Linked DNA regions of Drosophila melanogaster. Changing the gene in region 1 together with any one later gene gives a genetic interaction. Each region holds a gene or a part of one and is shown on either strand. Other genes may lie near its edges.

Region 1 (4,933 bases):
TCGATTTTGTTGCAAAAGCGAAGAAAGTTCTTTGAGAAGAATTTAGAGTAATGTGGTTCTCGACCATTAAGAATTTCAAATATATGTACATATATATTTATAGCTGATTAAGCATAAGATAATTACGTGCATGTGTACAAAGTAAGACCACGCGTTTTACGGCTTTGTTTGGAAAAAAGTAGATAAAACGCAAAGTACGTGTGTTACTATATTCACTATAAACACTTTATATTGTTGATAAATTTATTGAAAATAATATAATCGAGCAATAAATAAAAGAGGCAAACATATTCTTGATAAGCGAATACCAAATTTTATTAGGCTATCGATAAGACTAAGAAATCCAAATATATACCACTTTCTTGTTTCGAGATATAGTAATTTGATTAGATATCACTTTAAAAACAATTAATAAGGGCAATACTTTTATAACAACATATAACATAATGAGGCTTGTTAAGATATTTTTGTCTTTTCGGCAGTTAAGATAGCAATTAACCCCAGCTGGCCCCAGCAAAATCTCAGAAATACTGCTAAGTTAAGTGGCGTTTATTAACCAGTTTGTAGCTGAAGAATCGCTGTAGTTTCTGATATAACCACCGTTCTTTATGCGGTCCGACGGGTCTGCATTTATTTTTGTTTATTTTTCGTGTAAACAACGCACTTGACACATATCGAGAAGAGCCGGCTGTGGGGAAACTCCATCGAGAACCCGCCTCAAAACTGTATCTCACAGATAAACCCGTTCCGCAGGCATTCGAGCTATGCGAGAAATCGAGTTAATATTGGTATGAGGGGGGAATACTCATACTCGTAAATGGGCAGTGAAATTCATTGACCGATGATCGTAGTAACGATCCACTGCGAAAAAGGGCCGTTTGTCTGCCTCGTTTGTTTGTTTTCATTTGGCCAATGGAAGGCGAAATAATTTAATTAAATGTCGCGCAGTATAAGACGGGCGAAACAAAAAACACTACGCAAATGAAGTGCAAGAGTCAAGTAAAAGTGGGTGGTGGTGATGGTGACGGTCTGTTTTTGTTGTGGTGGTGGTCTGAACTTGAGCAAATTGAATGCCAGACAGAGGCAATGACGAAGCTTTCTTTGTGTTTCTGTGCACTTGACTTTCGGCAAAACGTCACCGCTTCGTTTTATTGCCAAAAAAATATACAGCTGCGCTTGTGTTGGTATCAAAACAAACAGAATGCCCAACGAGTTGCGAATCACTTTGTTCCAAAGGCTGCGAGCCTTGACGCCAGCCAGCGGTTCAATGAACGTATACACTCGTATAGCTAAGAGACGGAAAAAGCTCCCCAAACGCTCCAAACACCGAACTAAACTCGAAATGGGGAGCTGCAGCGTGTGCGTTGTTCGCCGATTGATATGCGCGGTGGTACTGATCAGTCTGCGATCACTCTCGTTATATCCAAACGCAATTAAATGCGAGCAAAATATTCCACATTCACGAGGCTATTTGACGTGCACTATTGTCAGACGTTTAGCATGTTTCCGCTAAGATGAAAAATATTGATGAAAGCCCGTCAGTAGCCCCACAATCTATGATTCCTAAATACATACTTTTTATCTCATCATTAAACAACGAGAAAGCTTTTCTATTTAAACCCTGCAGATTGAACTCAATTCTCTTACAATCTTGGGATTAACAAAACTTAAAAATTTAATACATATTTAAAAATTGAATTGAATTCGCAAAGATCTGAGGATTGGAAATTATAATTTTGGTTGTTTCGACTTAAGGAGAGAATACTGCAAACAAACATTGAAGATTGTACAACGAAAGACCATAATAATAATAAAATGTCTGTGTTAAACATCTGCTTATCTGGTATCTACGTTACTTTCGCAAATGAAATGTTTGCTTTTGGTTTATGGTTATCTTGAGATGTTTTTCTATTAGCACCTCAAACAGGTGGAAAGGGCTAGCCGCTGGTGACGAAGGTCACTGCTCGCTCGCTGATGCTGCCCACTGTGCCACACGATCGCCGGGCCCCTCCTCGATCCGCCTCGGCGTCCCCCATCACCTCCTCCATACCGCTGGCACTGTTGCATTTTCCAATGTTGCTGCATCTGTTGTAAATGCGGGCGTATATTAGGTATCATTTGTATATAATATATTAATGGCTACATGGGTGCTTTCTGTGGCTGTGTGCGTATGATAACGAGCCAGAAATGCGATTAGATTTCATTTGTGACACTAGAACTACTCGCACCTACACACACACGTATACGCACACGGACGCACTGATTGGGGGGCACACGAATGTGCGAAACTTCATTCATTACTCATCCGCCCCCCCTCGCAAACATAAACCCGTTTCCACCCACGCCCCTGGCAACCCTGGATCCACTATGACTAATCACTCGACCGGCTAACGGCAGTTATCAAATAAAAAAAAAAACAACAAAAAACAAAAGCCAAAGAAGCGCTATCAATAAGCATATGTTGTAAAAAACGGTTAGCGGGGAATTACGTTTAGACAAGGGGGATCTATAATTACGGAAAATTATTATTTAAGAAAAAGAAGCCCCAAAGAGAAAGAGAGACAGAAATATGTTTGTGGCCCCCTCCCACTTACTCTTTCGCTCACCTGCAATGTTTCTGTTATTGTTGGTTTTGTTGCTTCACTGCAGTTCGCCTTTGGTTGTGTGTGTGTGCGTGTGGGGGCTCCGCTCGGCTGTGTATGTGTGTGTCTGTGTGTGCGACTCCTCCTCCCCAACTAGTTTTCTTTTCTATATTTTACGACTTTCTTTTCTTTCTTTTTTCGGACTCGAATAGACACGGTCACAAGATGACGATGACGACAATGCGACGTCAACAAAGGGGGAAAATAGTATAGCTGCGCGCACGATATGGATATCCAAAAATCCTGGCACTCTATCGGGTTTATAGGGCTCTCGACTGCGATTGCGATGATATTGCAACTTATTTACCCTTTGCACTCTGCGCACAAAACACGAATTATTATTTCTTTCTCTGCTTTTCGCTTTGCACTAGTGGTGGACCAGAATTGATGGGCACTCGAAATATCGCGATATCGATTTATTCCTGAACCTATCGGTTCTTATCAGTTTGGAGTATAAGTATTTTAAAAATACTAGCTCACAGAAGAGCAAAATTATTCCTGTTATTTAATTATATTCATTTGCTTTTGGTATGTAAAATTTATAAAGGAATAACAATTTATCTTTGACCATCAACTACCGTCGTTCTTTTTATTTTTCTATATGTACAATAAATATTTAAGCTTTTAATTAGTAGAATGTTAAAATTATCTACAAGTTGTTTACATAGTAATTTAAATGTAACGCCGATATTTTTGAGTTGTCATCCCGATTTTTAAACATGATACTCGATGATATCGATAGCTGTGACAAATCACCTATCGATATCACTTGCATTCTCAAACTTACCAAACTGTGGTGAATTTGCTTGCGTGAAAGTGATAACTTTACTTCTCTAAAGTATTTACAGTTGTGCATGGATATTTTCAACATCAAGATTTAAAATTCTGTGTTCTTCTAAATATATTTTCTTATTGTTAAATTAGATAATCATTTGGTTTTTAGATTCTTGTTTTTGTGAGCTGCGAATATCTTAGTTCCCACCTCTACCGTTAGCGGTTACCCAAAATGGCGCCAACAGAACATTTTCAAAAACAAAAAAGGAACTTTGCACTTCCGTTTCAACCATTTTATGAAAAACAACGGCAAGAACATTGCCAAGTTCTTTAAGAAGAGAACAACAAACTCGACTTTTATTTATGATTTTATTTAGAATACCATTTTCATTTTCGTATAATTACACGCTAAAATCTATTTTCTCATTTTGTTAACGAACTGATAACAATATATTTTCTCGTTTTTTTTTATTCGTATTTTTTTCAGTTTGTGCATGTGCACGACTACGGCTGTGTTTGTGTGTGTGTGGTTTTGTGTGTTTGTATGTGAGTGAGTGCTTTTCGTTATTAACATTAGCTCGATGCGATTTGTTGTTGCTGTCGTTTAACTCTAAGTACCTACTTGTAGATGTTCAACGTTCATACGTGTATACAGTTATTAAATATATATAATGTGCATATGCAGTTGCATATTCGATATCGCCAACTTCCTGTTTCTATCGGTCTTGCTTTCGTTTTTTAATTTCACGGTTTGTTTCAATTTATTTTTTATGATCATACTAAACCAGCGGAAAATATATCACCCATTTCGATGTGTTTCAATGTATCAATGTATCAGCTCTAGATATTTAAGAGATTTTAAAATACATAATTTATATATTTGGATTGTTTTCTGCAAATAGTTTAAAATTCCGTGAAATTGAAAACCGAAAGAGTTCCGCTTGCCAACGCCAAAGCACACATACGCGAAATTGAGCCCCCAACAAATAAGCTTAAATCATAAGACTGTCCTCGTACGTTTGTCCCGAATGCAGGATTACATCAAAAACCCAGTAATCGTATCAAATTTTGCATAAAATCGACGAAAAAACTCAACAAAAAAGCGTTTGGTCTGACAAACTGTTCGATTTAGCGATGGCTTAAATAAAACATAAGAACTAAGTTAACTTAAGGCATACAAATCCGAAACTCGCTCCTTCCGCCGTTTGCATGCTGCTCCGTCCGCTCTCCATCGATTCCACCGCCTCCATCCCTCTGCGATTTACAGTAAAATAATGTGGTTATTTTCGGGGGATTCCCCCCGAGGAGCCAAACCCCCAGGCGGAGGACTCACTCCTCCGGCGGTTCCTCGGGAATCTGGAGGCTCTGCGCCGCGTGGGGATACTCCGCGTGCACTGAGTTAGAGTGCACCGACTCGGAGTCCTCCTCCAGCGCATTCGCCTTGCTCGGAGGCGGCGTCAGTGCATCACTGCCCACTGGAGGCTGCACCAGATTGGGGATGTACTCGACCGTCTCGT
Region 2 (4,906 bases), on another chromosome or scaffold:
ATGTCCTGGAAATCGTAACGAATCCACGCATTCCGACCAAGGTATCCCCGCAGCTGTCCGGCGGAATCGTGTGATCCTGTCGCCCTGCCATCGCCGGCACCACAAAGTTCGCGCCCATGTCGCGGCCGCTGTAATCCTTCGATTACATCGTTACCTCACGGCGATAATCTTGGCGGGGCTGTATTATGGCGTTAGAGTGGGCGTGGCAACATGGATCTCAACTTGGGACTCTCAACCTTCTAGCTTTTATAGTTCTCGACGTTCATACGGACAGACGGACATGACCAGATCGACTCGGCTATTTCTCCTGATCAAGAATATATATATATATATAGATTATATGGTCGGAAACGCTTCCTTCTGCCAGTTTCAACGAATCTTACCCTTACGAGTAACGGGTATAAAAAATTGGAACTTGCATTATTATTGGCTCCCACAGAGAAGGGTATATTATTTGAATGACAACAACGTTTCAATGTAAATATATATTAAAATAATCTAGGTAAACATGAAAACGAAGAAAAATAAAAACAGAATTTAGTGGTATCTTTATGTTATCAAAATGAATATGATTGACAAAGCTCAGAGTCCGCAGCATTCTGCCATTTATCCTGGGCTTCCTAGATCCCAAAACCGAGTCGTAAGAACGTCTGTATATACTGTAGAAGAAACTTATATTAATAAAAGAATTTCCCTGGGAAACGAGGAGTTTATCAGTTTACCTTATTCTGTTAGCGACGGATCCTCTCCCAATGGCCCTGGGTTGAGGAATCCTGGGCGGGTGGGACGCCTAGCAGGAATGCGGCAGACTGCGAACGGCCAAAGCATCGAGCACTGGTCAAATTCGGACAATCCAGCTGGGTTTTTTACCACTGCAATAATGAAAAACTTTCAGAAGTCCTCAAGGGATTGCTCATGGTAGAGAGTGACATCGCTTTTGCTTTTAATAAAAGAATTTCCAAATTTTTGTGCCTGCAGGACAAAAATGATTATGTGTACCTTTTCGACAACTTGCTGAGGTGCTGGACCCTTCGCCCGTTCGAAGACTACCGCAAATCTGCGAGCGGGACGCCCGCAATATTCGTCTAGCTCCTTGCCCCATCCTTTGTCATGCCCTTGATCAGTCAAGTCAAGACGGTATAGATTCTATCGCCAAAAGGTGCTTCAAAATCGGATACTGCTGCTTACCTCATAGATTAAGATTTTATTGTTGGGACTCGGTTTTCCAAATGATAAAAACAATAAAAAAAATGTTTGGAGCAAATCCTAAAGTTGTTGTTTCTGTAGCACATTGAGTGTAAATGTCAAAAATAGTATTGAAAAAGAACAAAGTTAAAATCATCGCCTACTTAAAAATAGTATTGCATAGGAACAATGTTAAAATTATCGCCTACTTATTATCCAGCACTTAAGCAAGATAATTAATGTATATATATTTTTAAAAATTAACGAAAGAGAATGCTTTAGTCCCGTTCTCCGACTATCAGATACCCGTTACGCAGATAGTGTGAGTGCAAACGTGAAATTTAATAATTTTTTCTGGGGTGTGTTCTGTTACTCTACGAGTAACGGGTATAATAACTTCACATTCCAAATTAAATTGCTATAAAAAATAGATTTCCAATTAGAGAATATATCCAATTGGATCACTCGATAACACCTGTTAACCTTACGTATGTATTATGATCTAAAAACTTGTTATCGGCAAAATATAAATGAAGCTGATAAAATAAAATAAATTTGTTGTTCCTTACAAAGTTATACTACATTTACCTAAATAATAATTACATTCGAATATTATGAATAAATACGTGTAACAGTAGGATCGTGCGATACAAATATCGATTCGAATGTTGAATGTGGTATCGATGTTTTTTCACTCCACGCAATTGCATATTTGCCGTATATATCGGCATTAATTGTATAACTTTCACACCTCTACCTTGTCTTGCAGTCAGTATTTAGTCAAACAAAAGAAAAATAAACTACATTTGTTAGAGCTTGATAAGAGCTCAGTTTGTCTTCAGTGTGTGTGCCCGTCATCTAGCAACAAACCGACGTGATTATTTCGAGTATGATAGTACTTAGCGTACATTTTTGTTAAATTGCAGTAAGCATACGGGCTCCAAATATCTTTCGATTCATTGGGAAAAAATGTAAAGTGCTAAAGTGCGTGTGTGTGTTCGCTTGCAAATGCAATATATACATACAAATTTTGTTTATTTGATGTAAAAGCATCCGATTAATTTACCGTTTATCTAATTATGTTCTTGTTTATGTGGCATATTGCGGCACTGCAAGTGTGCGCGCTCATCTGTGAGTGTGTGTGCGCGAGTGCTGCTGTGTGCGTGTGAATTGGGAATTACCGCTACTCAATTTGATGTATATACACCGAATTTCGTCAATTTCATGGCATTGTCCCATTGTTATCAGGCGCAAAACAGTGATATTTAAATGCGATTTTCGATTTTCATGCACACACAGGGGGAGGGAAAACAAGAGCAAAATTGCTGTACATGTATTAGTCAGTGACTAATTGTTCAAAGCGCAACTCAACATGGCTGACTTTTTCTGTGGTGAGCAGCGATTTTTGATGATAATGCTGCCTCTTTTCTTTTCAAATTCTCTCTCTTGATTCGCTCTCACTCTCTCTCTCTCTCCCTCGCTCACCTCAAATAAAATAAAGTGCTGGTAATTTTCCCGTCGTAACGGCAAGTGCAAAAACGCAAGAAAACGAATAAAAATACCGATACAAAGGATTAATCGTAGGAAATAATTTCGTCTATATATTTTCTTGCACAAAAGCGATTGGGGATACAATAAGAGACTCGGTGTTTTATTTTAAGGGCGTTTACATCCATATGTACATACATATAGGCCTTTATCTTTCATTTTTTCATCCGGTGACGCTGTCACTTTCTATCAACAATAAAATAACGCCCACAATTTGATTTTTCCTCATTCTTGCCGCATCAGTGCTGTCCATAACTACATGTTTTTCCAAAATCTTTTGTCTTTCGTGCAGCTAAACGTTCCAATGGAAACCGAATCTTAAACCAGAAACCGACTAAACTCGAACGCAATTAAACAACAATAAATCCTCGAAACAAATCAAATACAAACTGTTACCAAGTGTGCAATTCAAGAAAACATCGTATTGGCATTGTTTTCGCAAAGATACATTTACGTTGTAAAGGTCTGTCAATAACTAGACCTCACTGTAGTAGTAAAGATGACGCAACCACTGCCCATCCGCTTTCAGGAGCATTTACAGGTGAGTAATATTAAATATTTTGGATCTACCATCATTACATATCCACATACGTACAACCCACCAATATGCCACGATTACCTACGATTATATCCGATTCATAAGCTCCCCACTTTTCTTATGAAAATTTCACGGTTTCCAGCTCTAATTCAACGTGTAAACAGAAAATATGGGGGCTTAGGTCGAGTTTCTACTTTGCTATACCTTCTATTCAAGTCTGTATACAGTGTATTTTCTATAGAACTAGTTATAATACAAATTTACATCTAAACTTAAGCAAAGTATTGCGAATATTTAATAGTAAATGTGGGTCAATCCAGGCCAGTTCAATAATTAATAATGAATGATTATATTGTGTAATGAGTGCGTATGCTATGATTTTCGATTTATCAATTAACACACATTTTCAATCTCCACTACGGACAGCTCACAAATGTCGGGATCAACGCCAATTCATTTTCATTCAGCACGCTCACGATGGAATCGGATAAGTTTATTTGCGTGCGGGAGAAGGTGAATGATACCGCCCAAGTGGTCATCATTGACATGAACGATGCCACCAATCCCACGCGGCGTCCCATCTCAGCGGATTCGGCTATCATGAATCCAGCTAGCAAGGTCATTGCGCTCAAAGGTAACTGAAACCGATGGTCCAGTCGATCAGAATGTCCGAAGAGGATCAGATTTTAGCTTAAAGTAACGTAGGCTTAGTAAACAGGTCCGCTTGTTATTACAACGTGTCTAGAAAACTTAAAACCTCACTTAAACTTTAACTTGAATATCAAATAGTAAGGAAAGAGATCAAAGTTTTTTTCCGGTCGACTGGGATAATGCATTTTTGAACATGTATAACTTTAGAATATTTCTTTTAGCGCAAAAGACGTTGCAGATCTTCAACATTGAGATGAAGTCGAAGATGAAGGCGCATACCATGAACGAGGATGTGGTGTTCTGGAAGTGGATCTCCCTCAATACGCTAGCTCTGGTCACAGAAACGAGTGTGTTCCATTGGTCCATGGAGGGCGATTCGATGCCGCAAAAGATGTTTGACCGGCATTCATCGCTGAACGGTTGTCAAATCATCAACTACCGCTGCAATGCCTCCCAGCAGTGGCTACTCTTGGTCGGCATTTCGGCACTGCCAAGTCGCGTTGCCGGTGCCATGCAGTTGTATTCGGTGGAGCGTAAGGTGTCCCAGGCGATCGAGGGGCATGCGGCCAGTTTTGCCACGTTTAAAATCGATGCCAACAAGGAGCCGACCACGCTGTTCTGCTTTGCAGTTCGTACGGCCACTGGGGGCAAGCTTCATATTATCGAAGTTGGTGCTCCGCCGAACGGCAATCAGCCGTTTGCCAAGAAGGCTGTCGATGTCTTCTTTCCGCCGGAAGCACAAAATGATTTCCCTGTGGCTATGCAAGTCTCTGCCAAGTACGACACCATCTACTTGATAACCAAGTATGGATACATACATCTGTATGACATGGAGACGGCCACGTGCATATACATGAATCGTATATCGGCCGATACGATCTTTGTTACCGCACCGCATGAGGCAAGTGGTGGCATCATTGGCGTCAATCGCAAGGGACAGGTCCTCTCCGTGACCGTCGACGAGGAGCAGATCATTCCCTACAT

What was found. Genes that interact genetically often act in the same process or in processes that back each other up.
Region 2: of lqf (region 1) and Chc, changing one enhances a phenotype caused by changing the other (phenotypic enhancement), as found in Drosophila melanogaster (2 studies listed by BioGRID).

Annotation. Positions count from the first base shown.
Region 1 is NT_037436.4:7,526,860-7,531,792, reverse strand, and holds the start of lqf (liquid facets), read right to left. Parts: upstream 3,014-4,933; 5' UTR 2,607-3,013; exon of another isoform or gene 2,595-2,606; intron 1-2,594. Other genes in the region: ltl (larval translucida), read right to left, coding at 4,746-4,933.
Region 2 is NC_004354.4:15,832,491-15,837,396, reverse strand, and holds the start of Chc (clathrin heavy chain), read left to right. Parts: upstream 1-1,906; 5' UTR 1,907-2,110; exon of another isoform or gene 2,111-2,169; intron 2,170-2,484; exon of another isoform or gene 2,485-2,576; intron 2,577-2,642; exon of another isoform or gene 2,643-2,765; intron 2,766-3,025; 5' UTR 3,026-3,232; coding exon 3,233-3,274; intron 3,275-3,697; coding exon 3,698-3,905; intron 3,906-4,143; coding exon 4,144-4,906. UniProt on the Drosophila melanogaster protein: Clathrin is the major protein of the polyhedral coat of coated pits and vesicles.